Bombyx mori: one gene and its partner. The protein of the gene in region 2 purifies or fractionates together with the protein of the main gene of each other region. This does not show direct contact. Links are inferred from orthologs where the notes say so. Each region holds a gene or a part of one and is shown on either strand. Other genes may lie near its edges.

Region 1 (16,468 bases), on a different chromosome or scaffold from region 2:
AACTATTTTTTGTTTAGTGCTTTGATTCTTTTGTGTTATTCTATCTTCTGTAAGAAAATACTTGTAAAGCACTAAATACTTTTTTTTATTATATTATATTTTCGCAGATGTCCCGCTTTGACAATAAAAAATAATGGTCACGTTAGGAATGTGGTCGTTTGCGTACGTTTGCCGCTAGGGGCGCTGTTCCGATTGCATACAAATTTGACTTAACTTTTACGCTATCGAGAACGTTAACTCGCACTAAGCACACCGAACCATAGTTCAAAGTTCGAAGTTTACTTATTCAAAGAGACTAGACTTATCAAAATATATACGAATACGAAGAGCACATTAAAAACAAACTCATTTCGATAGTAAGTAAATCCATTCAAATATGTACCTAGTTATATCTAAATTAAATAAAATCGAACCGTAACGTTCCGAGTTCACTGACCTGCGGTTTGGCCTTCTCCTTGGGCTGTGGTCTATCTGCGCCCTTGCCCTTGTCGGCGGCGTGTTTGCCCTCCTTGCCTTTCGCACCACACTTGGTGGCGCGCGCTCCCAAACTCATTGTTAACTAAATTTATTTTTATATTTACAGCCTCTATTTACAAGCAGCTGTGGACAAAATGAGCTTTTGTTAATTTGTTTTCGATAAGAGGTTTAATCTAGATTAGAGATTCGTTTCGCTTGTTTCGGTACAATTATGTTTAAATATTATGGAAGCAAAAAACTAAAATAAAGATGGCGCTCCATGATATTTTGACACTGGAAAAATTGTCCTTAAAACTACGAGTATTATATAACAGCAACAACGAAGTTTATCTCCAATGTGGAATGTAGTCGGTACGAGCTTGTCCATATTTTTTACCAACTTCAAAAAAGGAGGAGGTTCTCAATTCGACTGCATGTATTTTTATTATATTTGTTACCTCATAACTTTTGACTGGGTGAATCAATTTTGATGATTATTTTTTTATTAGAAAGCTGAGGCTTCCCGTGTAGTCCCGTTTCAATTTAGTCCAGTTCTGATAATGGTATCCATGAGAAAACCATGTAAGTCTTAAATTTGCATTAAGTACGTGCGCAACAAACAGATGATTAACTCAATATCATGCCAACCGATTTCGATGATTAATGTTTTTAGTTAATTTGTTTTGGAATATATTTTTTTCTATTTGAAGTCGGTTTTTGTTAAAGCATGTCTATTTACAATCATTTTTGTAATTACAAACAACCAATTTTTTTTTTCTAACGATATCTCAATTGGGCCATTGAAAATCGCACTTAACAGCAAAACGAATGAATAAGAAACTCAAAATTACGGCGAACGGTGGTCTGTTACTAATGGAACCTTTTTTCAGCTCACATGGCCACCCTGCTTGGCTAGGTGGAACATCCCTTTGTAAAATTAAGGGTGCGACCGCGGGCACGTATTCATATTGTGGCGTCTATGATTTTGGATACCCATATCAAATCAAACAGTTGGGCCTCATGTCCCAAAATAAAATAATACAAACTATTACATCAAGATGAGAATTCGACAGAAGGATATCTTTGATTTTACGCCGTCAATATTCCCAAAAATATATCTACATTTCAATAGTGTTTGATACAATTGGCAAGGAATCAAACATTGCTCTCTCACATCTACCGCGTTGTACACAATATCATTGTGTGACATTAAGAAGGGTTGTATCGAATTCGAAAAACGGATGCATCACTTCACGGCAATTGGTTAATAATACATATGCAATCGCAAGATACATCGTTCGATAAGGGTCAGCGTGCTTCTGTTGTAAAATCTGCACAAGGCCAATCGGACGGTCGTAAACTTATCGACTGGACTGGTGTAACAAATGGACCGTTTGCATACAAAGTATTATACATTAAGATTGTATCTTTGTCTGCTAGTTTGTTCGTGTTCTATGCGTTCTGTAAAACCGGATGGATTGTTTTTTAACAGGCTTTTATTAGCTCGGCCAATGTTCCAACCTTGTTTCTATGCATCTATGTAACGGAATCTTTGGACGTGATTTACAACCCCTTCAAAATGTCAAAGTTGTTTGAAACTGGTCACACTCATCAAGGACCGATGACAATACAATAATTTAATAAAATTGTTCGATTATCCTATTCAGCATTTTTAGGTTTAAAACTGAAAATACGGTACGAAATAATAATAATCTGTTTTTTCCAAGTGATGCACTAAAAAGCCAATTCTTCTTTACTATGAAATTATAATCGTTAGAGATCAAGTTTAAAAAAAATGCTTTTTAACGTTTCTTAGCGTGTTAAATAAGCGTACAGCCCATTACATAATCATTAAATATTATTCAGTACAATTAAAAAAAAAAACATGTGCCGGTGCCTACGAGTATTTCTTTTAAAATTTCTTTTTGCAATCATTAATTATATAACAAAAACAATGTGCGAAGTAATTGAGAATCTTGAACGAAGCGATGTTAAAGAAACAGTTAAGGGACAGCTTCCATAGCGTCAGACCATTAAGAGCAAGTGGTTGTGCATATCTGTTGCTTCCCTACCTAATAGGTCTAGGAAATCTTTTTTGTTATACGATTATGTCTACCACTCCCACGTACTTACATCTATTGGTATTTTTATTAAAATAAATTTAATAAGGAGGAACCTTACCTAAAATTATGGTAAATGCCTTTTTTACATTATTCAGGTATTCAACATACGCATGAGTAAAACATGAGAAAACCTAAACGTTGAGACGCAGCTGGTATTTTTGTATTTGATCTCATCTCAGTGGCGAAAACAGGAAAACACTTTTAGTAGAAAACACAGAAATTTTCTAAACTAGAATTAATTTAATTTAAAAAAATCTTCGTCACGTCTCAAAGTCTGGAATTTAAAAGCTTTTATCACTAGTATCAGTTACATAAGATCGACGGTTAGACTTGGACCTCGTCAGCAGATTTGCTTACTAAAAAATGTGAGCAAGCAAATTTGATCCCTATTCAATGACGAATATCTTCGTCAAGTCAACCGTCCACGTTTTTGATTTAACCAGTCACGACATTCTAGAATTCTCTAGAATATAATATACCTTCTAGTATAATGACGACCTACTGGCGTTTTGGCGATTTTTTTGACATATTAGCATTAGTCACTGATTGCATATTAATTTTGTTGTTTTTTATTTGTTACTAGCTGACCTGGCAGACTTCTTAGTGCCTCAATCGATAAATAAAAGACCCTAAGCTTTTGTATAAAATAAACTTAAAACATTCAAAAGAAATCCGTCTGACGGGACGCATGAAAGGAAAAACAAAATTGTTATTTTTATTTAATTCAGAGTATTTTCATGTTTATTTACCTTTTTAACCTTCTCTGGACTTGCACAAATAATTTAAGACCAAAATTAGCCAAATTCGGTCCAGCCATTCTCGAGTTTTAGCGAGACTAACGAACAGCAATTCATTTTTATATATTTGTTATTCTGTTTGATTTTTAATATGTAAGAACGATTATTAAAGTCCACAAAAAAAGTGATTGCTTTAAAATGTCCGAGTTTATTTAACACAGAGGGTGCAGTTTTTGTTATACGATTTTAATTAAAGTTAGCGACTTGCTCAACTTAAATACCTGTGACTTTTCAATGAAAGTACATTATAATAATTGTTTTATTTGTATTATTCAGAATATTTATTCTTAGGCAATACACAAGAAGCTTTGGTATTGAATTTCAATCTTTTACTTTCAAAAGTGAGGGAGCATCGCCTATTAAATTTCAATCTTGGGGGTTTCAATTTTCACCCTATTAAGGGGAACATTTTCAAAACGTCGATATATATACACGTATTTATTTCTACCCACATATCGTTCTTCTTACTTTAAAAATGATGAACTTCTTTGATGAAAACGTTCACCCGTTATTATTATTTTTATTACATACTACAGGTGAACAAACTTACTGTCCACATGCAGCTAAATAGTTATCAGAGCTCATAGACATCATGATATGAAGCCTCAGCTTCAAGTGGCTGTTCCAAATTTCTAAAGCGCATTTTTTTGTAACCTATGCTGATAGCCTTGAGAACCTATTTCGGTGTTGCCTTAGCGTGTAGGTGATCTCTGGGGGCTCAAACCGGAGGTGTTGCTAACACTGGCCCTAGCAAGAGCAGTGCTTCGCAGAATCTACCACCGGATCGGAAACGTGACCCACTGAGAAGATCCGCTGAGACACTCAGTGGACTAAAGCGCATTAATGCTTCATGTAAATTGGCAGGGTAGCGGTACTCGACCGGGTATCCGTAAATGGATTCCCCAGCGTTAAAAAAGGGTAGCGGTACAAACCCGTGGGGGCTGATTAAGACACCCTACCTGACAATAATTACGCAAATTGTAATTATACCGGGTTCGTTTTCTATTACATGATGTTACATTTACATCATTTACATCGGGGAGAAAATGATGTACACCGATTCCTACCCTCCATAAAAAAACATTAAAGCTTAACTCATTTTCAGGTCACACATCAGATATAAACAATTCAATTTTACATAAGAAAAAATACGTTAAAAAAACAGTAGTGTTGTTACTAAACTTTAAGACCTCGACAGTTTTCTGGCCTTATGACTCAAGCGTTTGCCCCCAAAAGCTGATGTCTAGATCTTAATATAACGAACTCATACACTACTGCGTTAAGCATTAAGCATACTGAACGTAAATCTTTAATATGAAGTTGATTTAATAGAACAAACTGTAAGGAGAGTGAGTACATACTGCATGACTGATTTTGGTATACTTTAGTTACATACTTGCACTTATCGATGACAATTATTATTATTTCGAAATGTACAGGCATATTTTTCTTTATTTCGTTTCCCTACCTATTCGCTGGTATCCTAAGAGGCTATTCCCGCTTCGCGCGGACGGGTCGAGTCATTTTTTTTAAATATTTGATTTGAATATTTCCCATAACTGAAACTTTCATCTACAATAAAATAAAATAAAATGTTAGAGCCAAAAAAAAAGCAGATCTAATTGTTACTTTTAATCCCTTTCTTTTGATTAATAATATTTAGTGATTATATTTCTGTTTAAAAGACAAAAAATCCTGATTATATTAGAAATACGAATACAATTTAAAATATTCAAATCACGAATACCCGATCCAGACTCTGAGCTAGTGAATTGACTTAACTTCGCAAAAACACGCTACACGTAATAAGAGATTCGTAAGACGATACGTTTCTTATCATCAGTGAGAAAATATTTAACACAAGGCGTTTTTATTCGTGCGCTTTCTCAAAATCATGACCAATCACTTCATAAACTCATGTACAGGATAATATTACTAATTAAATATGATCTGCCTTTGAAATTCGATTTGGTTTTTAATCAAACAATATTAAAATTAAACTTTTCTTGTTTTATTGATAATTTTCCTTTGATTCATGAGGAAATTCTTGATGTATTTAATGAATTCGTAAAATTGGGTTAGCTCTAACATTTCTATTGAATATTACACAGTAAGCTTTTGCTACTACAGAACGAGAAAAACATTGGTATAGTCAGTGAATGAAAGATTACCAATAACAGAGAATAATTAGGAATCAACAAACCCCGAGGTATTTTTATTAAAATATTCATGATATCCCAAGTATTATTAAGAGAATTGGCTTACAATGGCAAAAAAAGTTCCAATTTACTACTAAAATAACTACTACTTTGGTACAGAAATAAACAATATATTAAAATGTTTTGCATATAGATTTTTTATTCATACAGTTTTGACTTATGCCACATTCAGATAAATTGATTGTACTGTTGTTCAATTTGAAATAAAACAATTTTCTGTACAAGCCTTTTAAATATAAGATCTCGATTTGATTGTATGACTTCTATAAACCAGAAATATTTAAGGAATTTGAGGAAAAAAAAATAGAAACAGAAGAATTGTGCAATGGATGATGAAAGAAGTCATCAAACTAAATACAACCTTCAAAAATGAAGATACAGACTCGGAAGAAAAAGAAAAATGAACTTCATTTAATTATCATAAGACTTAAGATTGTTGAGCGAGTAAGAATGGAAACATTTTAAGCCTATTAATATTTTATATGGATTTCGATGATGGTCTTGATGAAAAATGAATAATTCAATAGGTTCCAAAATTGCAATGTTTCATGGGCAATCAGGAAATTTTATTTTGATTTTTATGTTAATTTAGTTTAGTTCTTTAAATTTTTATTTAGCATTTATTGTACTTTATTTAATAGGAAAGTATATTACCAACTTTATGAACTAACAATAAAAATATTATTATGAATAAATTCATAGTACTAAATTATAATAATATATGATTAAGATAATCCCAAAGTTCAACAAACTTTATCAGTTTATATACATTGTCAAAGTTTGTAAACAAATCAAGTCCCCAGACACTACTATTAATTATGAATACAAAATCCAATATATCAATCACCTCAATGTTCTTATGATTACCAACATTCTATTCTTGTGCCACAGATGCAGATTTTATTCTTTTGTAACCTTTGGTAACAATAATACGTTTAAGACCTTCTTTCCAGAAAAAGAAAGAATATTTTCGATTGGAACTGTTGTATTGAACATGGATTTTATATGTTTAAAATAAAGTGGATTTTTTAGTTGTGCAAAGCTTTTAATATTCTTTTTCAGCATGGCAACAACATTCTACATAACGTAAAACCTAGCTCGTTGGCACAACGTGATATTTTGTGTGGAATTATTATACCAGGTTTATTGAATGAGATAATTATTATAATTAAATTGAAATCAAAGAATATTTAGAAATTACAGTGTTATGGTCAATTATATATTCATTAGTTAAGCTGTATATTTGTTTAACAAATGATCCTGAGATATATTTCTGTAATCACAAATGTAATCACTTACTTTCAGTTTGCTCATTTTCACAGAAAATTATTAATACTAAGAAGAAAACGGTTTTTTCATACTTCATAGTGTTATGACAATGAAATTTTTGAGGTCGCACTCAAAATTTAATTACATATTGAATCCTACCACTAAACTAAAAATTAGCCTACTTGTCTGTTGTTTTACTGTAAAAAACTATCTAATCGTTAATATATAAGAACCATAAATACCATAAAAATAATTTTAATTCCATTCCCGCCATTATTAGTTATTGATTAATTATTTTTATTATAACTTTAGTATTTTATGAATTTTGACAATATCTTATTGGACTCTTATAACAAATGTACCTACGTAATAAATTATATTTCGTTACAGGATTTGGCTTGTATTATGTAATTACATTCTGGAAGAACAGGAAATCCGAAATTTCCGATTATATTCAGTAGGTACCTGCTAAAATGCGAATCATAAGAAGTCTGAGAAGATTGTAAGTCTTATTGGTGTAATAAATACATAAATACGTCATATGAATGTAAAATTAAATAAAATATTTAAATCGCTTGTACGAAATAAATGCATACACAGCGGTAAAATTGTAAACAAAACAATTGGAAGTATCTTCGGAAAAATGACTATTTCCCGTAATAAAGCTTACGTAACATCAAAATAAACATTCTTTACGAATTATTTACCGCCTAAAATATTTACCGGTGGTGTTATTTCGGCGTTATCCGCAAAATTACGAACAATGAATCACTGGTCAAGTTTTTGAGACAGCGCAAGGATTTAAAGGTTTTACAGTAAACTCTACCGATCAACAGACACATGAATTATTGCACGCCATATCAACATTTCACGTCATCAAATTTTAACACCGCCAAGGCGAAACTCAATAGGGCATCGGCACATGTGGGGGACGCCATTCTTGAAGCACCATTCTTGGTATCAAAATGACAGCCTTTGTCGCAAAAATAACCGTGCACAGCACAAATCAACATATCTTTCATATACACATCAACACAATATGCACAACTATTTAATATTCTTTACCTTAAATCTACGGTACAGTCCGAAATTTAACTGATTTTGTAATAAAATTGACCGATTTCCATACCTGTGAATGCGCTCAAACGCAAGCTGGTCACGTGACTCCATAGAGTTGTGACACTTAAATTTTTCGCAACAGTTACGGTTTTTATTTTTTAGTTTTATAATCTGTGAGATTATTTTTATGAAAACTAATATTTTTATTTACGCGTTAAAAATGCGCGTTGGCCACATTAAGGTTACAATACCGTTAAGACTTCATTCCTCGTGAATTAACGCACTAACACACAACACTCACAATGGAGCTTGAAGCAGCTAAACTAGTTGTGACAGTGAGCGTCATAAATTATTTTATGCATTTATACAATTTAAAAAGAGAGAAAAAATGAAAAAAAAGAAGTTTGAATTCAAGAAAGATGATTCAATTGCAGATTTTGTGTATTTATTTAACGTTAAGATGCAGGTAGAGCAGTAGGATTAAACTTATAGCAATTGAATTTTTGCAACAAAAGTTTTGAACTTCATCAATTGATTGAAAACACCACGAAATAAACGACGACTTTTTTTTTTTTTTTTTTTATTGCTTAGATAGGTGGACGAGCTCACAGCCCACCTGGTGTTAAGTGATTACTGGAGCCCATAGACATCTACAACGTAGCCGCGCCACCCATCTTGAAATACAAGTTCTAAAGTCTCAGTATAGTTACAACAGCTGCCCCACCCTTCAAACCGAAATGCTTATTGCTTCACGGCAGAAAATAGGCAGGGCGGTGGTACCTATCCGTGCGGACTCACAAGTGGTCCTACCACCAGTAATTACGCAAATTATAATTTTGCGGGTTTGATTTTTATTACACGATGTTATTCCTTCATCGTGGAAGTCAATCGTGAACATTTGTTGAGTACGTATTTCATTAGAAAAATTGGTACCCATCTGCGGGATTCGAACACCGTTGCATCGCTTCAACACGAATGCATCGGACGTCTTATCCTTTAGGGCACGACGATTTCAATGATTATAATTTTATATTGCTTGTAGCCCACAAGTAACCTGTTCATTTATTTATTTTACATTTAGAAGAAGTAGATCATCAAGTTTTTCTGCTTTGGTAGTTAATAGATAATAATTATAATAAAAAATAATTTTGCTATGAAAGTTAAATTTTGAAAAGAGGACCGGTATTATTATCCCTAAAAAACGATTGAAGTCGATTAAGACACAGGACGTTCGTTAATTACCGTAAAATGGGGCGATTAGGGACAAATTCCAACTTTATGAGCAATTTTAAGGTAGTTGTTGATGTATATAATGCTATATCAGGATCAAAATGATTGAGTCTTGGGGGCATCTTTGTTGTCTAATTTAAAATTATGCAAGTAGCATTCCAGTTTAAGCAAAAAATGCAAAAATAGGTGTAATCCCTATTTACCCGGAAATTGCGGTTAATTGGGACGAAATGAGAAATTTGCTAGGGTTGGCACTACTTTTATTTTTATATATAGTTTTAATTAATTTATTTATTTAGTTGCACCAACAAAGTGATCGTCAATAAAAAAAATTGAAAACTGACAAAAGTACATGGCAGACATCACCTCAATTATAGGTGCAATCGACAGTGCAGTAACAACAAAATATATATATATATATAATAATATGTATATTTACACATATATAGTGGGCTTTCTTAGAAACGGTTTATATTTCTCCGTTCTTGGTAAGTACTTAGGGGCTGATATTTCTATCTGGGTTAAGAGATTAGGTGTGTCGGTTATTCCATGGATTAATCAGATGAATACCCCCACTCTGAACAAATATTAAATATTTTATTATGTATTACTTACACATTTTTGTCCACCTTGATATTTCATTGATATTGTTACATGTCTCTGCAAAATCGACTTACTTATATTAAATTGCTTATCTATTTCAACTAAAGACTTATTCCCAATTTCGCTTCGATAAACCAGATTTTTACCAACAAATTAAAAAAATATTGTTATAACTACATAGACAACCCTACAAACCTGTACCTATTTATACTTAGGTTGTTTCCATTTCAAGTATTCTCATCCCAATTGACCCCTTTTTCGTTGTTATTTGTACCTAAGACGTCCCCAATATCCCCAAAAACAACAGATTTTTACATGTATTTTTATTTAATCAAATACATTAAAACCAATAACAACTGAGACTTACCTTTAATATATATGCTGGTTCAAACACTAAATAACGTTTATAAATCATAGTCGTCTTCTATTATTATCAAATAAATAAAATAGAGCAAAGTTTCTAGCACTAAAATAATTACCACCACAGGAAGTTAATTTGAAACGCGATTTTTTATAAGTTAGCAGCTATTATCATGCATATTCAGAGTTGTTTTGTGAACTTTCAACATTCTACTATTAAACTACAAAAAAATGGAAGATTTTGCAACGAATATAAAACTTATATTGAGCGTCGAAAGATTTTCCCGGTTTTTTCCCGATTCGCCTTTCAATCCCTAATCGCCCCATTCTACCGGTACTTTTATTTAAGTCACGAAAATAAAAAAGGCATCCGTTCAAAAATTTGATATTTTTTCACAATAATCAGATTTTATTTTCACTCAAGTCAATCCTAATTTTTTTTCGAGACGTTACAAAACATGATGTTTTGATTAGGACATGAATATTTAGCCATCTGGGAAATATGCTTAATTATGCTTCCTATTTTCACAATCATTCTTTTCTTCGATCAATTACTGATACCTAGTTTTCGAACACTGCCATATACCCATAGATTATACACATAATATATTTGAGATATATATACCGCCAAAACATATGTGGCTGTTATTAAAATTTATTTTGTCAATTAAAAAAAAGTTCTAACCTCAACGTATGTAGGTATCGTAGGTGTATTAATATTTATTTTGGTTCAGACAGAGTACAGTAATAGAACCAATATAACGTTAAATTATAAGTTACAAAGAGCTATCGATATACAATTTATTACAATTATACACTACGATCGTGAAACCTACAGACGTATACCCTGTTAATAAACAAATAAGCATATAACTGAATATTTAAATGTCTCTTTTGGAAGATGTGTTCCTTCAAGATGAAGCTAATGAGGCTCGGGAATTGGAGCGGGTAATCGACGGTGACGAGTTTGACGACGATCAACGGGCATCATCACCAGATAGTGATGATAATAGCGCTAAAGGAGACGAAGCCGGTAAGTACTTTCATGTGTAGCTGGGTATTATTAACACAATTTTCTAGATCGATTCTCTAAGCGATAAGGCACGTCGATCGTACATACCATTTGTTATAATTTTTTTATTCGAATCGAAGAACATAATGTTTAGTGCAAACTAACACACAAAAAGTATATCGTCGTTGTCAAACCAAAATCTGCTATGTGCAACTTTTTGAGATTTTTACTTTTTGACCGTTTCGTATAGTTCACAGCCCTGTCTACCGTACCAAAAAAAAACTGTACTGTGTCTATAGCTTTAATATTTATCTATAGCTTTCATTTGATAAAGTTCTTAAAAATTAATCTTTATATAAAATTTTGTACGAAAATGTTTTTAATCGTTCATTCAAAATAGAGTTTTTGCACATAGCAGATTTTGGTTTGACAGCGACGATATCCTGAAACAGATATATGGTTTATCTTCTTCTTGATAGTTTCACCCTTGACAGAGCGGTTGTGACGGTCATTTAATGTTGGAGAGGACAGATTTGACGAAACTCACGATATACCGCTGTCTCTCCCTGCTCGAGGTCTTCCTACTTCACTCATTCAGGGGACCTTCCACTGTAGTTTCTGCCTTAAACAGCCGTAAAGAAATAATGCACCTAATACTTAACTTAATGATTTCTGTGTCAATCCAGTTATCAATGCTTTTCAGAGGAGGATACTAGACGTGTAGATCCACAAGCCAAAACAAAACGTGTTGTAAGGAATCCAAGGTTCATACTGAACCCCGCTCGTCTGACAGGGCCAAGAGGAATACAAGTTATACCTGAGCATTTCAAAGATTTTAAATTTAGAGGTAATATTTTAATTAAACAAATGTTTGCTATTAATTTAATATCTGCACAGACTAATTATATTCATACAGAAAAATTCTAACTTTATATTGTTGCTATATCAAAAAAAGTATAGTGAAATTGGTTCAACTGATTGTGAAATGGCCCACTGAAATGATACACTAACTATTGATTTAATTAGATGATATTATCAAATGTATATTACCATTTTATAATAAATTGTTTACGATGATAATTAATTTTTAAAATTTAAACAAAAATACATTTTAAGGTTTATTGGAATTACAATTTAATAATTTTGTATCCTGTTATAAATTACAGGTAAAGGTCACGAAAAAGAAGATTTAGATTTAATACTCAAAAAACTAGAGCATTGGGCATATAGATTGTATCCTAAATTTGAATTTGAAGACTGTTTAAAGAAAATAGAATCACTCGGCAAAAAGAGACCTGTAATGGTAAGAAATCTAACTGTGTGCATCATTTTGGCAATAGTTTTACATTATATTCATCTTTGAATTCCTCTGCAATTTGATTCACTCACTTTTTATGCTAATTATGTATTGTTGTTTCATCTGTTTGTAATTAAATGTGAAGAAAAGTACATTCTTATGTACACTGAATTTATAAAGGTTGGAGAATGATGCTTAAAAAATTGGCATAGTCAAATACAAGCAGTAACATTGAGCCAATGCTTTTCAATATGGACTTAAAATTAAACAAATATAATTTCTCCTCTACAGGTACATCTATGCAAAATTCGTACAGATCAGATTACATCAGAAGAAACAGTGGTACAGAGGGATTCCAGTGAAGATGAGGCACCACCACAAGAAGAAGACGAATTTGACAAATTACTGCAAGAGCAAATTGCACTGGCCAGGTCCACGCCGGCTCCTGAATCTGTAAAAAAAGTTCGAGACAAGCCAATGAACATGTAAGTATTATAGGAGTGGTAAATCTCAGACAGCTTATTTGAAATTAATATATCAACACCATTTAATGATATTTAATTTTTAAAATCTTTTTTTTTTTTTTGTCTAACCAAACTGCCAGAAGTCTCAGGGAAATTCTAGCTGCACTGTGATTGGGTGACCAGCACGAGATCTTAGCAAGAGCGAGAGCATTGCTTTGCGGAAAATACGCAAATATCTACATATGTATTTAGTAATCCTGCAACTTTCCGAGAGGATACTATTTTTTTTTTTTTCCTACCTAAGCTGGTAGCCTAGAGAGGCTATTCCAGCGTAACCGTAACTAGTAGGTGAGCTCACGGGGCTCAAACCTGACGACGTTGCTAACACGAACCCTAGCAAGAGCCGTGCTTCGCAGAATCTACCACCGGATCGGAAACGCGACCCACTGAGAAGATCCGGCGAGAAACTCAGTAGGGATACTTGGGGTCGACATTTCGAGCGATGTCCAGTTTCGGAGTCATTTGGAAGGCAAAGCCAGGTTGGCGTCCAAAATGCTGGGAGTCCTCAACAGAGCGAAGCGGTACTTCACGCCTGGACAGAGATTTTTGCTTTGTAAAGCACAAGTCTAGCCTCGCGTGAAGTACTGCTTCCATCTCTGGGCCGGGGCCCCCAAATACCAGCTTCTTCCATTTGACTCCATACAGAGGAGGGCCGTTCGGATTGTCGATAATCCCATTCTCACGGATCGTTTGGAACCTCTGGGTCTGCGGAGGGACTTCGGTTCCCTCTGTATTTTGTACCGTATGCTCCATGGGGAAGTGCTCTGAGGTATTGTTCGAGATGATACCGGCATCTCGTTTTTACCACCGCACCGCCCGCCACCGGAGTAGAGTTCATCCATACTACCTGGAACCACTGCGGTCATCCACAGTGCGTTTCCAAAGGTTTTTTTTTGTCACTTACCATCAGACTATGGAATGAGCGCCCCTCCACGGTGCTTCCCGAGCGCTATGACATGTCGTTTTTCAAACGAGGCCTGTAGAGAGTATTAAGCGGTAGGCAGAGGCTTGACTCTGCCCCTGGCATTGCTGAAGTCCATGGGCGACGGTAACCACTCACCATCAGGTGGGCTGTATGCTCGTCTGCCTACAAGGGCAATAAAAAAATATATATATGCGTAATACGCGAGAATAAACTCAGCTTTTTTTTTATTGCTTAGATTGGTGAACGTGCTCACAGCCCAGCTGGTGTTAAGTGGTTACCGGAGCCCATAGACATCTACAACGTAAATGCGCCACCCATCTTGAGATATAAGTTCTAAGGTCTCACTATAATTACAACGGCTACCCCACCCTTCGAACCGAAACGCATTACTGCTTCACGGCGGAAATAGCCGGGGCGGTGGTAGCTACCCGTGCGGACTCACAAGAGGTCCTACCACCAGTGATTACGCAAATTATAATTTTGCGGGTTCGATTTTTATTACACGATATTATTCCTTCACCGTGGAAGTCAATAGTGAACATTTGTTGAGTATGTATTCCATTAGAAAATATGTTAGTGTTATGAGTTTAAATTTTGAATTCTTCGGGTGTCGAACGCGAGTTCGAGGAGTATGGTAAATAGTGGTCGAAATGCCTAAAAGCACCAATGCAATCCGAAAGAACGCATCTGAAGTCAACAACAACTCTAACATGGCAGCACCTATCTGTCACTTTGTCATGTCTATCTATCTATCTAATGTGTTGATAGTGGTATTAAGAATGTGAGTGAATAGGTATTCATTAAATCTTGGCTTGATATTGAATGCCCTGCATTGTGTATAAATGCAGGTGTCTATGGTTCGTTCTTCCCTTTCCTCTCGGTGCCGTTGCACGGTATGCACGCTATACTTTAAGTTCCTAATTATAATATTTACTAGCTGACCCGGCAAACTTCGTAGTGCCTCAATCGATAAATAAAAGACCTAAACTTTTGTATAAAATAAACTTAAAACAAACAAAAGGAATCCGTCCGACGGGGCACACATCAAAGGAAAAACAAAATTGTTATTTTTATTTAATTCCGAGCCTTTTCACATTTTTTCACCTTTTAAATCTTCTATGGACTTCCACGAATAATTCAAAATTAGCCAAATCGCTCTAGCCGTTCTCGAGTTTCAGCGAGACTAATGAACAGCAACTCATTTTTGTATATATAGATTGTACTGTCTGTCCGCTTGATTACCATCAATAAACTGCTGGATGTTTACTTGTTCTGGAACCCCACGCAAGTTCCACCTGCACGACTAACACGAACCAAAGGCCCGCGTGTCATTGACCTGCTCTAATAAGTGGGACATGATATAATAATACTTTATTGTGAAAATGTTTGATTTCAGATCTCAAATACTACCAAAAGCAACATCGTCTCCTTCTATAAACGAAGAACAACGAGAAAGGATGCTTAGAAATAGGCAATTGGCTGAAGAACGGCGTTTGGCTAAGCTCAAACAAAATGTCAATGTTGAACAAAAGCGAATTAATAATGATAATTTAGAAACAAACAAACAGATTGATGATATAAACAAAGTAAACAATGAAGAACAAACACTACAAAATGGGGAAACACGATATAGCGATGGAATTGAACACAATGGTGCAGTAGATAATTCATTACACATAAATAAAAGTTTGATAGAAAATCAAACTGTCAATAATGATAATCATAATCTAAAAGAAGCTCTTAACATAACTAAAGTACTTGAGCTTCAAACTAAAAATAGCTCTCAGGAAAAACCTATGGAAATTCATAATACTGAAAAGGATACAACAGAAACAATTGAAAATATTGAATTATGTGTGCCAAATGATTTGATTGAAGCCAATATAAACCAACGAACCGAAAAAGTTACAACATCTATTAATGATAATACACAAATTGATGAAATAAATAATATGGATGAAGTTGACAAAGAAAATAATTTAGATATTTTAGTAGATGACTTACGTAACAATGAAACCAATGTTAGTAAAATAATAGATCACAGTAAAGAGACAGAAGTAATTGACCCCTTATTTATTAATGATTACGCAATGGAGATTAATTTTAGTGATGAGGATTTCTAATGGTTAAATGAATAAAATACAAATATTTTTATGGCAACATCCGCATTTCTATTATTTAATACAACAGTGACAATACAATTTTTTCCTACAGACACGGCTCACTGAGTTTCTCGCCGCATGTTCTCAGTGGGTCGCGATTCCGATGCGGTGGTAGTCCAGCGAAGAACGCCTCTTGCTAGGGCTAATGTTAGCAATGACGTCAGGTTTGGGCCCCGTGAGCTCACTACTACTCAATAACATTTTAATACAACGCGGGCAACTTGTCTATCAGTAAAAAAAAGTGCGTGCGTACAAAGTACACATGTCAGAAATGAAACTTTTTTGGCGAACTAATTTATAAGTCTTGCTTATATTTATACAAATCTAAAACTTTAGATTTCCGAGACTTAGAGGAAGGAAAAAAGGGAGATATGTTCCCGCCAAAAGTCTGTCAAATGTCAATCTCTAACCTCAGTGTTGACGGTCACATTA
Region 2 (16,260 bases):
TTTGGTCTTAAACTGGATTCTATAATCAATAATTAAGCAGTGTTGAAAGAAAATAAATGAGAATAAAAACGAGTCCTAGCTTCATCATAATAGCTTTAAATCAAAATCAAATAATAAAATTCATTTCAAGTTATTTCTTATTTATTATAATTCAAAAGGTATATCATATAGACCTTGATCCACATACCTAATAGACTTAAAAGTTTCAGCAGTTATTTTTCATGGGTTCATTCAACTTATTTACTCATTTATTTGATGGTTGTGGTATATTCTTGAATATTGATGGGTTCAGAATTGTTTCAAAAAATTGGGATTATTATATTTTATTAATAATGTTTTCAAATATATAATTAAGCTCATTAGTAGGTATATATATTATACTAGTTTCTATTTGGCGATTCTAATTATAAAAAAACCATGAGGTAACGTACGTGTACCTATTCCGGTGTCCCCCCCGACCTCGATGCCTGTTCCCGTCGCCGCGCTCTTCACCCACGCCACCTGCGTGCCACAATGTGTACAGCATACGTACAACACAACATGCAGACATTAAACTAATATTATAAATAGGAAAGATTTGTTTGTTTGTTTGTATTAAATAGGCTCCGAAATTACTGAACCGATTTAAAAAAATCTTTCACTGTTTGGAAGCTACACAATTTCCGAATGACATAGGGTTACAATCTTTTTTTTTTTAAATTAGAAACTCCAATAATGTAACACGAGGTGTAAAAAAATTACCTAAAATATTCTTGACATCGCGTGCCCTGCCAAAACTATTGATGATAGAATAAAATAATGTGCTACGACTTTGTAGAAGACATTATTATTTACAAAAAGTGTCACGACAACATATGTATAACTATTATAATTATGCCGCAATAAGTGTTTTTTTATTCAAAAAAATAAAACAACGTCAAATATCGTTGAAATTCTTGTTAAAGACCCGAGCGGAGCCGGAGCGGACCGCTTGTAATAAATAAATTAAAATAGAATTGAAACATATCGGTACCTGGCGGGGGTCGGCGGGGGCGGCGCGCGCGCGCGGGGGGCGGCGGGTGCGCGGCGGCGCTGCCCAGCACCACGCGCAGCTGCTGGTCGATCTCCTGCTTCTCCAGTCGGAGCTGCTCCACCTCCTGCAACGCAACAAACTACTCAATACTCGTAGCACAAGACCACTGTGGTAGATACGACTGAACAACGATGCGGGCGAACGCTCGATCCACTAAACATATAAGTGGTTTGTGATTTGAAATCCGGTCATCGTTCTTGTCGAACCCGTCGCTTGCGACGAAGGGCTAGACGAGTAAATTAACCCACAGACACAGTCCACTGAGTTTCTCGCCGGATCTTCTCAGTGGGTCGCGTTTCCGATCTGGTTGTAGATTCTGCGAAGCATTGCTCTTGCTAGGGTTCGTGTTAGCAGCGTCTTCAGGCTTGAGCCCCGGAGCTCATCTACTAGTTAAGGTTACGCTGATATAGCCTACCAAGGCTCTCAGCTAAGGAAAAATATATTGAAATAATTCAGTAATATCATCGATTACACCAAAGCCCGCCTTACATCAGTTAAGCTCTAGAAGCACGCTCGCGTCTTGTCTTACCTTGAGATGCGCAATGTGATAATCGACAAGTACTTTAGCATTGGCGATGTTTTCTTTAGTACCGACAAATGTGAAAGGAACGACGCCGTCCTCGCGGGGGCCCACCGGCTGCGGCTCGTTGTCGCCTTCTACTTTCACCTATAAACACATATTCATCTTTTACAAAATTTTATCAAATATTGGAATTTAATCTACACATAGAAGTAGCGAGGTCTGTATTCAATTATACATTGAATCATTAAAACAACCACTTAAACTATAGCAAGTAAATAAAAATCTGTGCTTATTAATTAATTATATTATTAATTATTAAGGTATTTTTACTGGTGGTTTTGTGAACCCGCACGGGTAGGTACAACTACCCACCTGTTTCTGCCTATACTGAGACCTTAGAACTCATACCTAAAGGTGGGTAGCGGCATTTAGGTTGTATGTGTCTATGGGCTCCGGTAACATTGGGAGACCGTGAGCTGGTTCACCCATATACGCAATAAAAATAAAAAATGTAATAAATAGTGTGGACGGTAGGTTACCCGGACGACGCCGCTCTTGTCCAGGATCTCCTGTATGAGCTTCCCGTTCTTGCCGATGACCTTCCCGACGAGCTGTCGCGGCACCCGCACCGACTCCTCCGCGTACTCCAGCACGGCGCGCGCCGCCCGCACCGCCTCCGCCGACTGCGCGCACGCACTACGTTACTCAACAGCCCATCGGTAGTCCCAGTTACTAGCACAGCAGCAAGGACTCTATAATCTCAAAACTTACTCATTTTACAGGAGAGGGTTTTAAAGGTTTAACATGTTATATTTTTGATATTAATCATCTTTGCAACATTATATTTTTATCTTTTACCAGTTACATTATATGTCTTTTAAAGTAACATTGTTTATTTTTTCATAAAAAAAGTAAAATGCTCGCTAAACTTTGTTCTGTCACATAAAACAGAGACAAATTGACTGATAATTGTATTTTATGTTAGTGTTGTAAGAGAGAAAATCTTTCTCGTAATAGCAACAAGTACAAATCTTTAACTAGATCACTGAATAAAAGCGTCGATACGTCGAACGCTGGATAAGGACTGACAATTATCTTTTGTCACCCCTGGCTCCCACAGCAACAGGCTTTATTAAGTAGTGGAAAACAACAGCAATATTTTTAAGAACAAACAAACCAAACAATTTTGTAACTCATTTACCCCTTCTGATATATTTTATGTATTAAAGAAATATCTAAGAGGTTCCTGCTGCTATGGCTCTGACGTGCTTCCACACAGTACATTTACCTCTCCACATATTTTGAAAGTGCACGTGAGTTCCTCAAGCTCAATGTTGGAGACCCCGGGCAGCTTGCGAGCCTGCTGGATGTTGGCCCCGTGCGTGCCGATCGCCAGACCCATGAGCTCCTCGCGCACGCTGAACTCTTCGGTGTATCTGTGCACATTCCATTTTTGTTATTACATTGTTCATTGATTTTCTGCTATAAATAAATTAATAAATTAAATAATTTTTACTGCTATATCAAATTAATCGATTAATTTTTACGATCATAGTTGAAGTGTGCAGTTAGTCAAACTTTCAATTTTTATATTATCCTGTAATTTCATTTTTATTGTGTACCACAAACATACTGAGGAGATGTTAAAAACAAATACACACAAGCTCGAAGTTAGAAATATTTTAAAATAAAATTCAGAAAGAACTTGAGCATTTGGCCTTTCGGATATTAATTACCATTATTACCAAATAGACCAAGAAATCAACCAAATGGTGGTCCTACATGACACACCAGTGTAAAATTCTAACCAGCAGAAATTATAAAATAATCATTACTTGTTCTAAAGCCAAGAAATTAAATTGAGAAAAATTTCTACTGCAATCCTTTGTCCTTTGTCAATCCTTTGGAATATTATAAAAACAACTAATGAAAAAATATATAATTGACTTAGCAAATTTCTTAGTATTTATTTTGCACAAATTGTGCTTTGCAATTTAGTTAAAGTATATTAATTAATTCCAGAGAAATATTACAATTATATAGTTATATTTGAATATTCAAAGCGCCAGATGTCAAGGAAAATAAAACATCCTTACACAACCTTTTGTTTAACTCAGTTTTGTTCAAAAATAATAATTTAAATATTGTTAATTAATTAATAAAGGTGAATGTGTCAACAGTCAGTAATCAAAGTGTTGTGGTTGTGTAGTCATTTTTTGCATTTGTGCGTACTTTGATCGTGTACTCATGTAGAGAATTAAGAGGAGAGTAAAAAATGTGGAGAGCCTAATACTACCGTCTCGGCACAATCTAAAGGGCCGGCGGTCCTGGGGGCTCCAGATAATGTTAGCACCAGTTTTGTTCAACCATTAAACTTATATTGAGATAAGCCTGAGTCTATTGGTTCAACAAAACAGGACCACAAGTCAACATTTCTGACTTGAGATCCTTGTTCAATGCTGAATATTGAATGTATCAGAAATATAATTAACTTGTTCTGGTTCCTACTTCACAGTAGGTTATTTAAACTGTTTGAAAGTATAATAGTTTCTCACTTTTTAAACAAAAACGATTTTTTCGAGAATCATAACGAGAGCACGTGTACAGTAGTGACTCACCCGCCCTGATTGTTTATTTTCGTAGATTCAAGCTGCCTCGCTGCCTCCTCTGTTTTCTTCAATAACATAAGTTTCTGGGTCAAATTTCTGAAAATTAAAATTTAATATTTTATTACTATATAAAACAAAACCATTTGGTTATTTTCTTGCATGTAACCAAACCATGACTACGATCCATGCCATATTAAATATTAGATTCAGTGAGTAGATATTCTCAGTCAGAATTTACGGTGCATTAAATTGTCTAATTTCCTTTTTGGTCCTAGGATTAATCCTTTTGGTCCTAGTCACTTTATGTATGTATCTACTGATTTACAATATTTTTTGTAATTTATAACTTCTTATATATGGAAGAAAGCAATACCTGTTTTTACAGATTAGTGTGTAACAGCATTCCATGACTATTTCAATCAAGAACATTGTGTAGCAGCTGTTACGGTCTACTTCAATTAGAAATTGTTAGATTTTGTTTTTGTAAGCGAAATGAATTTATCTGTTTATTCAAAACGTGGTAAATGCGATCAAAGATTTGAAACAATTCCCAATGAGCCGCCATCTTTGAGCAGTTGGATAAAATTCACATGACTTAGAGGAATGTGAAGAAAAAAGAAAGAAAAAGAAATATGCTACATCTATCAGCACATGCCTAGTTCCGAACCTGCGAACTATTGCGTGAAAAGTGAAAGGTATCGCTTCCACAACGCGCAATACATGTCCCACAATAAACTTTATTACTACTGCAATCAATTAAAACAAGACACGAGACACTAAATCTTAATATAAAATTTGGCAAGTACATGTATTTTTTTTTACAATTAGTTATGTGTCATATTCGGCTTCTAAGGATTGTACTAGTCGGTGTTTAATTACGAACATTGCCAATGTGAGGTTACAAGCTAACCTATTCCTATTGTAGATTTTAAGTCTCTTTATTATTTGGATATCCCGTTTATTTGGTTGTTGTGATGATCGTGACCTGATATGGAGTAGGTGGCCATATAGTTCAAACACATGAATATCAAGTGAAGTAACTAACCAATGTATGGTCAATATTTCTCAGCATTATCCCTATCCTTCAATAAGTCGGAGGAGGCTATGCATGGCCGGATAGATAATTCTGATGGTATATGTGGGTATCGCGAATTACGTTTAGAGATGTTAATATTTAAGATATTACCTATACATTGCTGAATAATTTAAACTGTTAGTATTACCAGTAACTGCCCTGTTGACTGATATCATTTCTATTATCTTACAGCTTGGTTGCAGATCTAGATTTGCTAATGGCCCTGAAGTATGGTGGTTACTCCCCATCAAGTACCTCAGCGGTCTCGAATAAAAAGAAATTTCAATCAAATAGTCAGATCGCTCAAGTACCCCAAATAGAGTTTATACAAAGTGCTCATCTATCGGCTAGGCTATAATTTCGACAGGCGGGAGAAACATCTTTTTTTATCTTACATAGACAAGTACAGTTGATCACAGTGGACGCCATGTTATAGAGCGACTGCGGTCCATAGATTTTATAACACAAATATCACATGTAGTGATTGATAATAATAGTATCCATTTTCTTGCTTTAATCCTATATTACGTGACATCGTCGGAGCATGTCCTTTTATCGTGTGGCATGAGTTTTAAGACCGTCCACACTAATAAAGCTAGTAATGCTAGCATTTATAATTGAATATGAAATTTCGAAAAGGGCACATGTCGCATATTTTGTCAAATAGGTTTTTTCATATACATGTAGTTTTGAGGCTTACCTACACCCATTTTATAATAATTCCAGTAATTTTCAATTGCCAATTAACACTAAAATATGTCTCTAAAGTTAATATTTTAAATTTTACACTGCTTTAGAAAATAATCACTTTTTTTCATTTCCTGAACATTTTATATATTCAGAGATGTGCCCTTTTCGAAATAGCATATTCAACTGTAGTGTAGTGTAGTGTAGTGTAGTGGGGTGGGGTGGGGTGGGGTGGGGTGGGGTGGGGGTGTGGAGGTACCGGAAGTGCATCTCCTGCAGCATGGTGGCGCGGCGCTGCGAGGAGGCGCAGCGGGAGAGCACGGCGAGCACGGCGCGCTCGGGCACGTACCAGACGAGCGCGGCGCCGATCGCCTTCTGGAACTCCTTGTGCGCGTTCTCCACCTTCGCGCTGTGGATGTCGTGGAGGCTGCACACGTACACCATATAGTTACTGCCGACCCAACCTCAACATCAGCCATGCTTGTGTCCGACTAATTATTCACTCTTCCATTCAAAATCATTTTGATCTTACATATTATAGCACTCATGGTTAGGTAAAAATGAAAGTGTGAACCCCCAAAACAATTCCTCCCTGAAGTGTTCCATGCTATACAAGATATTAACAGAGCTAAAGTTTCTCCTTTACCTCAGAACTTCCACAAAGTATGAAACCTAGTCAAAATGATGTGAATATCTAAATAAAATTTAAATGGAAATACTAACTATGTAATGCTATCCTATGGGAGCTGTACCCCAAGCAAGCACAAATTTGTAGTATATTTTATAGTTGTAACAAGGCTGAGAGGTTTTTGAAGTTTTTCTTTAAGTGACCACCGTATTCAATATAATAAATTCAGTTGGTTTATTTACCAATGGTTTTATTTATTAAAATACTGCTTGACTTGACCCTTTAATTAATTTTGAATATTTAACAAATTTCAATTAATTTTTTTCCCCAAACAATTATTTCCTGTAGTATGGTATATGGTGAACCAGACTGATATATTAAAAAGACATCAAAATTTATAAACAATTAAATATATGACAATAAACCATTCAGACATAGCAAATAAACATGTTTCTCATTTAAAAAAAAGGTTTGTCCAAACAGAATCAACCCACCAGCCAGCATTTAGCGATGTTAACTAAAAAGTTATTTTAAGTTGTAATAGACAAAAAATTACAAGTAATTCATATCCTCTTTGCCCACACTGTTGAATTTAACACCTGTATCCCAAAAATATCATAAGCTCAGTTTTAGTCAACATATTGATCTTTATATTCCTATTCAATTTTAAAGTTAGGTATATTTTAGTATTTATGAAGTTATCAGACTATTTATTAATGCAACAAATTTTTTTCAGGTACTAAATTTTGTTTTCTTAAAATTTTGACCAATATATAAATGGAATAATAATTCAATTTATCTTTTCTAGTATGAATGCAGATTATGTCATACTTTAGGAGTTGGAACCTTTACAGGAGGGTTGAATTTAATTTAAGACTCAATAGATTCATAAATAGTTCACAGACTGAATACATTACACATATTCTTTAACTTTCTTATTGCTATGTTGGGCAGATCAGCTTACAGCTAACTACTAACATTACTAGTATCAATGTATCCATTCTACCTTAACAACTCAAGTCTAAATAGCATTGATATAAAAACTCCCCTACCTACAGATATGAATAATATGAATATGAACATTTCAAAACAGATACTGAATTCTTGTACCTACCCCTTCACAATCTCCCTTCTACCAACTAATGATACTTCTAATATGTTTGTTTGTGGTCCCTAGTGAACAACTACGTATTTTTACTTTAGCAAAAGAGATGATATCAACAATGTTAGATGTGTAAGAGTTATATGTAATAATAATTACTCCATATGCTTTATTAGTGGTCATGTTTGGTTAAAAATGTATATGAAATATTTATTACATTAGTAAATATTACAGGAGAGTAGCTATCTTAAGATTTTCTATTATCCCATTAGCTACCAATTTGTAAGAGACCACTTGACAGCTGCATGGGACTTCAATAACACTAGCATACATTATACCCACTTTTATAATAGCATGATGGAGACATTATTCCAACTGGGAAGTGATTGTTATTCAATATGATGCATGTTTTTTTTTTATAAATATTATAATTCAAATTATAACTCACTAGTCCTTCAGTTCATCAGGTACTGTTATTTCAAACTTGTGAAATGTGTTTTTGTCTATTGGGGTCTTCGGTAATTTTACCCTAAGACGATCTTTAGGCACAATTTCCGTATAACAGTTATCCCATTCTAGATATTCTATCACAAGGAAATCACCCCTCATCATCTGCAAAAAATATTGACATTTTATTGGCATATATGATTCTTAATTCCACATTCTACATAAAACTATTATAGAAACAAAAACAAAAATATAGTCTAGACATTATTATGCAATGTGATGAATTTAACATAGCAAGATTTGCTGTATTTGATATTGTATACAGGCAGTATTTCTGGATTAATACTTCAAAGGACTCTAAATTGAAGTAACCAAATGTTTAATTCGCTTTTAATAAATTAAATTAAAAAAAATTTTAATAAAATTTGTTGAAGTTAAATTGCAACAAATCTTAGTATATTTTTGAAATAAAACCAAACAGACTAAGTTAAATTGGGGCAAGTTTTCAAAAATTTTTAACAAAAAAGCAAAAAGGAGGGTAGAAATTAGGGTTTAAAATAGAAAATCATGTACAAGTAAACAAGATGAAGGGTAGTTTCGAAAACATTTGTTCTAGAATAAAATTCTATCATATTTTGATTTGTTTAATATATGTGTGTGTAATTCAATACCTTGATATTTGCAGTCCACCACCCACACGCTTCTTTCTCATTAGACCTAGCAAATACTTCCACCTCCTGGTTCTCAGTAAATTCTGTGTGTTTGCCAGTGTCTTTAGGTGGTAAGAAAACTTGAGAAAACGGAAACTTTGATTCTGGCTGCCAGCTAAAAATTTAATCAAACGTAGTCAATAAATTTACAAAAAATAAGACAGTTTATACACTAGTATATAAATTTACATACTAAATATAAATAAACTCACTCATTTTCAAAGGCTACTAGAACCTCGTTGTCGAGCACGTCGGTGACAATGGCCTAAAAATAAAGAATTTTTGGAACATTTTAAAGCCACAGCAACTTGGTGATGCGCTGCGGATGTGATAACTAGGTCATTTACGCGAAAATACGCTAATGTTAAATCACCACATGAGGAGCAGACATCCATTTACTGCACGATATTTTCTAAAAATACTACAAGCATAAAAATTATTACAACACATGGAAAAATCACGCCCTGTCAGACGGACATGGCGTCTATTCCAGCAGAGATCTTCCCGGAAAAATATTTTTGTAAGTATAAGACATATCACTGCCCTGGTCATCGGCTACGATTGATTGATCTGTAAACTAATTAGAGGGACGCGTGTTTACTCAAATTTTAGCGTACTTCACGGTTTACAAACCTTATAATAAGCACCATTTTCACCGTACACCTCGACCGACAAATCCTCCATTTTGGTTTGAAAGCGTATTTGGCGTTTTCCGAACGAGAACGAATATTCGCAGCGGTTCACTGACCAATCGCTTTAGAGAATTCAAGCATAGACTATGATAGATTTATTTTTAAAAGCACTGCCTTTCACTGTGAAATAAGTTTACAATATGAATCATTGATACGTTTTGAATTTGGAATTCCCCTGTGAAATCTAGTGTCTAATCTGTTACCTATTCACTTTTTAAACAAAGAAATACAGAGGACCATTTCATTTCTGAATTGATATTTCATAGAAATCAAATGTATAGCTTAACGCCACCATACAGTGTAAACTCAGCTAATTCCGAGTAAAACTATTGATTCCGATCATAAACAATTAAGTTCACCCCAGATTCTGCATTAAATTTTATTTACCAAGTTTCTTATTTGAATTTACTGCTTGTTCATTTAATTTTGCCAAAGAGTATATAATCACTACGTTATAAGAGTCCGCACTTCATAGTAAACGTTACAAAATGAAAATGTATGGGATCAGATCCGATCTGGTGACAACATTAAAACAACCACAGACTACAAAAATCCTACCACTGTCAAAAATAGTGATGGGCATTAATATCGATGTCCAATAAATAATGATGCGAATATTATCGATATTTTTGTCGATATCGAATGCAGGCAAGGATTGCATATTGAAATAAAAACTTTATTATTTTAAAAGAAATAAAACAATGTTTTATTACTTAGTATAATTTTAATGAAATTTGTAAGTAGAATTTTAACGCTTACAAAAAATTTTAAGTTTGTATCGGAAATGTTTAATTTTTATTTTACAATATAAACCAATATTTACTTAATTTTATGCAAGGTACAATAAGTATACATGTAGAGGTTTTCAACCTTGTTTTATAATGTTATAACGAACTAGGTTTTGAAAATTTTTGTGCTAAATAAAAAACAATTCGTTTCTATTTCCATTTGAAGAGTAAATTTTTAAAAACTTCTATTTTATAATAGTAAAAAAATAAAGTTCTAAATCTCTAAATGTATACTTTTTTTGAACTCAAACCCGAAGTTAACTTCTTTCTACAAAAAACAAATAAAAACTAATTATGTAATTATCTTGAAACACCATATTGTTGACCCCTTTTGTTCGCGTCCGCCAAATCCTCTTCCTTTGAAACTTGCTTTAAATTAATTATCTGGCACTGTCGCCGAATCAGCATTAGAGCCAATTTTGTAAACAATAAGTCTGACATTTGTTGACGATGATTAATGCATAGCCACTCTGTATTACAATTTGAATAAAATATAGTAATTGTCCACTGGCAAATATTGTTATTATGTAGGTTAGGGATACAAAACTGTTCAAAATTTGTAACCGCAGTGTGTACAGTTTGACACAACTGCAATGATGGATATGTCAAACATTTCTTATCTTGCCACCACTCCCTTAATTTAATTAAATCATAAATCTTATTTTCCTCTGGATCTGCAACTGTCAAAGTTTCTCTACAGACCTGGCAATCATTTTTTTTTAGAATAACAGAAGCTAGATATCCACTTATATAGACCACTGGTTGATTTGAAATTTTTGCTAGGTCACATACTATTTCTTTATATTCTTCTTCTTCAGGTATACTGAGAACCGGGTTGTCTTCCTCATTTTCATTTTCTGTGGAAACATGACTAGGAGACTCATTAATATCTTGACCTTGATCATCTTCGTCTTTAAACCCAAAAACTAAATCATGAAAATCCGTCATGAGTTCCTTTTTGTCTTCTTCACAATTGGAGTTTTTGCTGTGAGGGGCGGTAAGTCCTGATATTATAGAGGTTTTCATAGCTGCTATAAATGTAGAACACGTCGGATGCTTGTTTGTTTGACCATGCTGTCTTATTAACCCAAATAAATTTTCTAATGCATCCTGGTTTAACTGCCGTAGATTCAAATACTTATATCCTAAATCCTGAACTTCCAGCCAAATATCACGCAGCGATTTTAATGATATAATGTAGCCTTGAACACACTTTACATTTTTTGCTTCCACGCCATTATGGTTGAAAAATGTTAAAGTAGACAGTTGCTTTCTATATTCTGTCCAAACAGCTAAATGGTCAGTTTTAGCAGATACGTTTTCCCGTATACCTTTTTTTACGTCAGCATGTCCTGATGGCCCATTTGTATAATCAAAAAGTTTATTGAATTTTTCAATTAACAAAGCAGTCTGTAATATTTCATCTGATCGGTGTACATTTTCCACATTCGTAGCTAATAATTTAAGAACAGCAGCCACTGTTTGGCTAAATATTTGTGCGGCATACTTAACTTTCATTTTAGCTCTGTACTTTGGTTGTACATGAGTTGATTTGAGTTTGCTAAGATATAAAAAATTTCTATTTCGTTCCTCTACCTCAACTAAATGGCTCCATTGACCTTTCAATTCTCCCATTTTCAGAAATCCTTGTTTTAAAAAGTTATTTCTCAGTGATTTTAATAAATGTGGAATATCATAAATTATATAAATTTTTTTATTTTCAAATTCAAAATAATTATGTCCACCATTGTTCCACTCCTTTAACAGACTTAATGCTCCCATATTGGTGGGCGCTTGATCACATATTGTTGATAAAACTTGAAATCCCGAGTTAGTAATTTCTTTAATTATATCTTTTATTAAAACTGCTAATTTTTCTGAAGATACTGTGCCTCTTATGAAATAGAATGCCAGCGGTTGTTTAATTTTTCTCCCAATACCTTGTAACATGAAGACTAAGGCATGATTTGCTAGCTCATCTTTCCTCTCATATCCATAATCGATAAACCCTTCCACTTTATCTGTGGCTTCGCTATAAGTTAACCTTTCTTTTAACGCTATTTCATCAAAGACTAGCGAACATAATTTTGCTCTTATTTTTTTAATGGGAGCTAGTTTTTTCAGGTGGTCAAGTACAGCTGTATTTAAACCTGGCTCAACAGGTATTTTTTTCATTAATTTTTGCAATGTTTTGATACTCGGAAATGGTGCGAGATATCGCAGATATCGGTAAGCTTTTGGTGAACGCTTGAAGATGGCTAATGCTGATATTTTATTTTTAATAGTCCAGCGTTTGCCTTGTGACTTACGCTTTTGATTTATCAACGCAGACGTGACAATTTCTTTTAGAAACTCTGACGATAAATTGTCTATTAGTTTCGCGCTCTTTTTTAATGATGCCAATGTGCACTTTGTTTTTCTCAATTCACTTAAGAGCTTCCTTTTCCGTGGTGTAACATCTAAAACAAAAAAATTACATTAATACTTATTGACCAATCGTTAAAAGTGGTGCTATAAGTAGATGGAGTTAATAATACAAAACTCACCAACATCTTCTAATTTTCTTTTTCTTATTTGACTTTCACTTTCTTTCCGCTGGCTTCCTTTGGTGACGTCTGTAAAAATATATGAAGTACAATAGAATTAGTATGTATTATAATCTTATTATATTTTATTTATTTATAAGGGAAACCAACAGTACAATACAAATAAACAATATTAAAAAAAATAGCTAAAACAATAACTAAACATGTTGTATCACTACATAGTTAAAACAAAGTCGCTTTCTCTGTCCCTATATCTATCTGTCTGTCCTTATGTATGCTTAAATCTTTAAAACTACGCAACGGATTTTGATGCGGTTTTTTTTAATAGATAGAGTGATTGAAGAGGAAAGTTTATATGTATAATAACATCCATTAAATAGTGGAGAAATCAATAATTAATGACAGTTTCCTAAGCGAAGCGAGGGCGGGTCGCTAGTTGTTAAATAAACACAACCAGAACCATACGCTGAAAAAATTATATTCATTTATTTAAACTAGACTTTCGGCTGTGGCTTCTCCCGCATGGGATTCGGTTATATCGCATGTCCCTGTACTATCACTTGATAATAGTATTTTGTGTCCTTTCTCTGTCTACAAATTGTCTGTGCCAAATTTCATCAAAATGGGTTCAGTGGCTTAGACGTGAAAGTGTAATAGACAGACAAGTTACTTTCGCATTTATAATATTAGTAGGAATTTTGAACTATTTTTACAGATCTTCGTTACAACTAAAATTTAGAATTGCTTTCATGAAATCGATTCTTACTTTTCTCTAGACTGCTAGACTGACTTGAGGATGTTGGCATTGAAGTACAAGGAACAGCCTGAACCTCAAACTGGCCTTGTGGGGTGACATCAGCTGAAAATTAAATTAATTATTTTAAATTATTACACATGTCTATTAAGATTAAAATTTAGTATTTCTTTTCTTGCTGATATAAATTTAAACAATCCTGATTCTCACTTTTCTCTAGACCGCTAGGCTGACTTGAGGATGCTGGCATCAAAGCACTAGGAACGGCCTGAACCTCGAACTGGCCTTGTGGGGTGACATCCGCTGATATAAAAACATACATTTTTTAATTTACTTTGAATTATTCTACACTCAAGAGCATGTTGAATTTCAAAGTGTGGTCTAGATATAAATGGACTTAGAAACTATCTTTGGTCCATGCAGTAGACATATGTGCGAGAAGTGAGCATTTTAGGTACCAACTGAGCTAACACAAATTTTTACATAGTATAAATTTTTATACACAAAAAAAATTTCAATCCTGTAAAAAATGTACAAAATGGAAAATATGTACCCAATTACCTTGCGAGTTGAGTTGCAAAAATTGAAGAAGAATTTCATCTCTCAATGGTGGCAGTGTCAAGTTCAGTTTGGGTACAGCTCGTTTTTTTAAGCGCTTCTTTGATTTTGTAAAGTCTCGTCTTGAGAAATGTGCTTCACAAACATGTTTTAAATCATGTAGCATATGTACTTGAAGATAAGCCAGATCTTCTTTGCCAACCATCTTTACCCATTGTTTACATCTAAAATTCAAAATGAGCGTTAGTTTTACTACTAAATTAAAATAGGTCTTGTTATAAACTAAAATATATACATTTTTCAAATTTAAGTATCTATTATTTACTGAAGTATTTTTTAATAGCTGTGCCCACAATACCTTGCATACTTTTATCCCCTATTTCTTATTGTTATTTTACCCCCTCGAGGGTGAAGATTTAAAAACTTAAAATTACATTATTATTTACATATATCTGACTAGAAGCAAAAAAATCAATCATCATCAAAAAGTTTCAAGGTTCTAGATTAAAAAATTACGAATTTCCATACAAACTTTGTCATATTTATTTATATCTAATCAACAGCCTAAATAATAAGTTTCAAGATTCTAAAAATGACGATACTTCCATACCCCTTTCAACCCATCTACTAAAGAAATTCAAATAAGGAGTTCACTTACTCACCTATTGACATCCAGAGGAAACCTTGCGAAAAACCGTTTTTCAGTAAGATGTCTTTCTTTGATACCACAAACTTCACAAGTACGATGAGTATCAGGCATGTTAAAAAGTTTGCAAAAGGCGCAAAAAATTTAAACAACACAGGAGTCAGTTTCTCAACAACAATAACTTACAATTTACAAACAAAAACAAGACCAAACAGGAGGAGTAAATTTCTTAACAGCAAATATTAAAATTAACACGAAAAAAAAAACACGTTACAAAATCATTTTGTGAACAAAGTCTTTTCTCGAAAAATATCAACGTGAACTTATAAGCGATATTAAAAAATTAAAATGCCATTTAGTTTTTTAAATAACTCAATGTGTTATTCATCAAAACCAAATGAATAAACGACAAAACAAACAAAAACAACAAAGCTTAACCGGCATTTTGTTTAGTGTTGCCATAAGGAAATTTACATTTTTCTATAGCTAGGTGCGTAATGCCAATTTAGCGCACTAATTAACGCGTTAAGACGCAGGAGTAGTAGTAGCATTACAGAAATGCAAAGAAAACTATATTATTAATAAAAATAAGTAAAGAGAACGTACGGTTTGTTTTCAAATTCAATGTTCACGTATTGATAAAAATTACTATGACTCTGTTAAACCAATTAGCTCGGTAACACTGTGTTGTGTCACAACTTCGGATCTCATCCCATATAAAAAAAATATGTATGGGAGATTCCACCCACTGTAATTTTGCTACTTAATTAAAGTGTAAATTCAATAGTAGTGGTTAAAGATGATGTCTGAGTCCATAGACACCACGCAACATATCTTAATTTTGGTCGCTGTTCCAACCATGGAGTTAATAAGTACCTACAACAGTAACTCTATGGTTCCAACATTCAATCTGGAACGCCGCACTACTTCGCTGTAATACAGAGGAAAGATAGTGAGACTTGCTTAAATTAATAGAAGCTATGTAGCACCAAATATTTACGTTTTATTTTTTGTGGTTTTGTTTTTTAGAACAAAGTTATATGTCCATTTCAGAATTTATTTGTAAAAAGTTTGGTTAATACGTAATTACTACAAAGCGTTGCACCTGCTTTTGGATAAGATATTTAACATTTTATCATCACTCAATACAAATACATCAAGTTCGTTAGCCAGTAGGTCAGAGACACTTTGACAAGCAGCTCTAATGGGTTGCCGATCGCCTTCTGGGAAAATTTCCGGGAATTTTTTTTCTTCTGTTACCTGTGTCGAGCTAATCCGGGACATTTCCAGTTTTTTTTATTGCTTAGATTGGTGGACGAGCTCACCGCCCACCTGGTGTTAAGTGGCTACCGGACCCCATAGACATCTGCAACGTAAATCCGCCACTCACCTTGAGATATAAGACCTAAGGTCTCAGTATAGT

What was found.
Region 1: the proteins of RNA-binding protein FXR1 (region 2) and protein lingerer purify together in Drosophila melanogaster (affinity purification with western blotting; 3 studies listed by BioGRID, with this or other methods). This does not show direct contact. The link is inferred for Bombyx mori from reciprocal best matches to the Drosophila melanogaster genes Fmr1 and lig.

What each region holds. Positions count from the first base shown.
Region 1 is NC_085134.1:1,832,043-1,848,510, reverse strand, and holds the start of protein lingerer, read right to left. Parts: upstream 8,147-16,468; 5' UTR 7,994-8,146; exon of another isoform or gene 7,588-7,993; intron 601-7,587; 5' UTR 554-600; coding exon 437-553; intron 1-436. Other genes in the region: TIMELESS-interacting protein, read left to right, coding at 11,002-11,149, 11,832-11,975, 12,295-12,431, 12,717-12,910, 15,271-15,997. UniProt on the Drosophila melanogaster protein: Acts in the nervous system to mediate the control of copulatory organs during courtship.
Region 2 is NC_085112.1:15,600,349-15,616,608, forward strand, and holds the start of RNA-binding protein FXR1, read right to left. Parts: upstream 9,656-16,260; 5' UTR 9,538-9,655; coding exon 9,487-9,537; intron 9,119-9,486; coding exon 9,066-9,118; intron 8,969-9,065; coding exon 8,815-8,968; intron 8,309-8,814; coding exon 8,145-8,308; intron 6,394-8,144; coding exon 6,226-6,393; intron 4,301-6,225; coding exon 4,214-4,300; intron 3,032-4,213; coding exon 2,884-3,031; intron 2,279-2,883; coding exon 2,135-2,278; intron 1,740-2,134; coding exon 1,602-1,739; intron 1,137-1,601; coding exon 1,013-1,136; intron 502-1,012; coding exon 432-501; intron 1-431. Other genes in the region: uncharacterized protein LOC119630931, read right to left, coding at 10,634-12,792, 12,880-12,948, 13,646-13,738, 13,844-13,936, 14,195-14,415, 14,854-14,951. UniProt on the Drosophila melanogaster protein: Polyribosome-associated RNA-binding protein that plays a role in neuronal development and synaptic plasticity through the regulation of protein synthesis of mRNAs.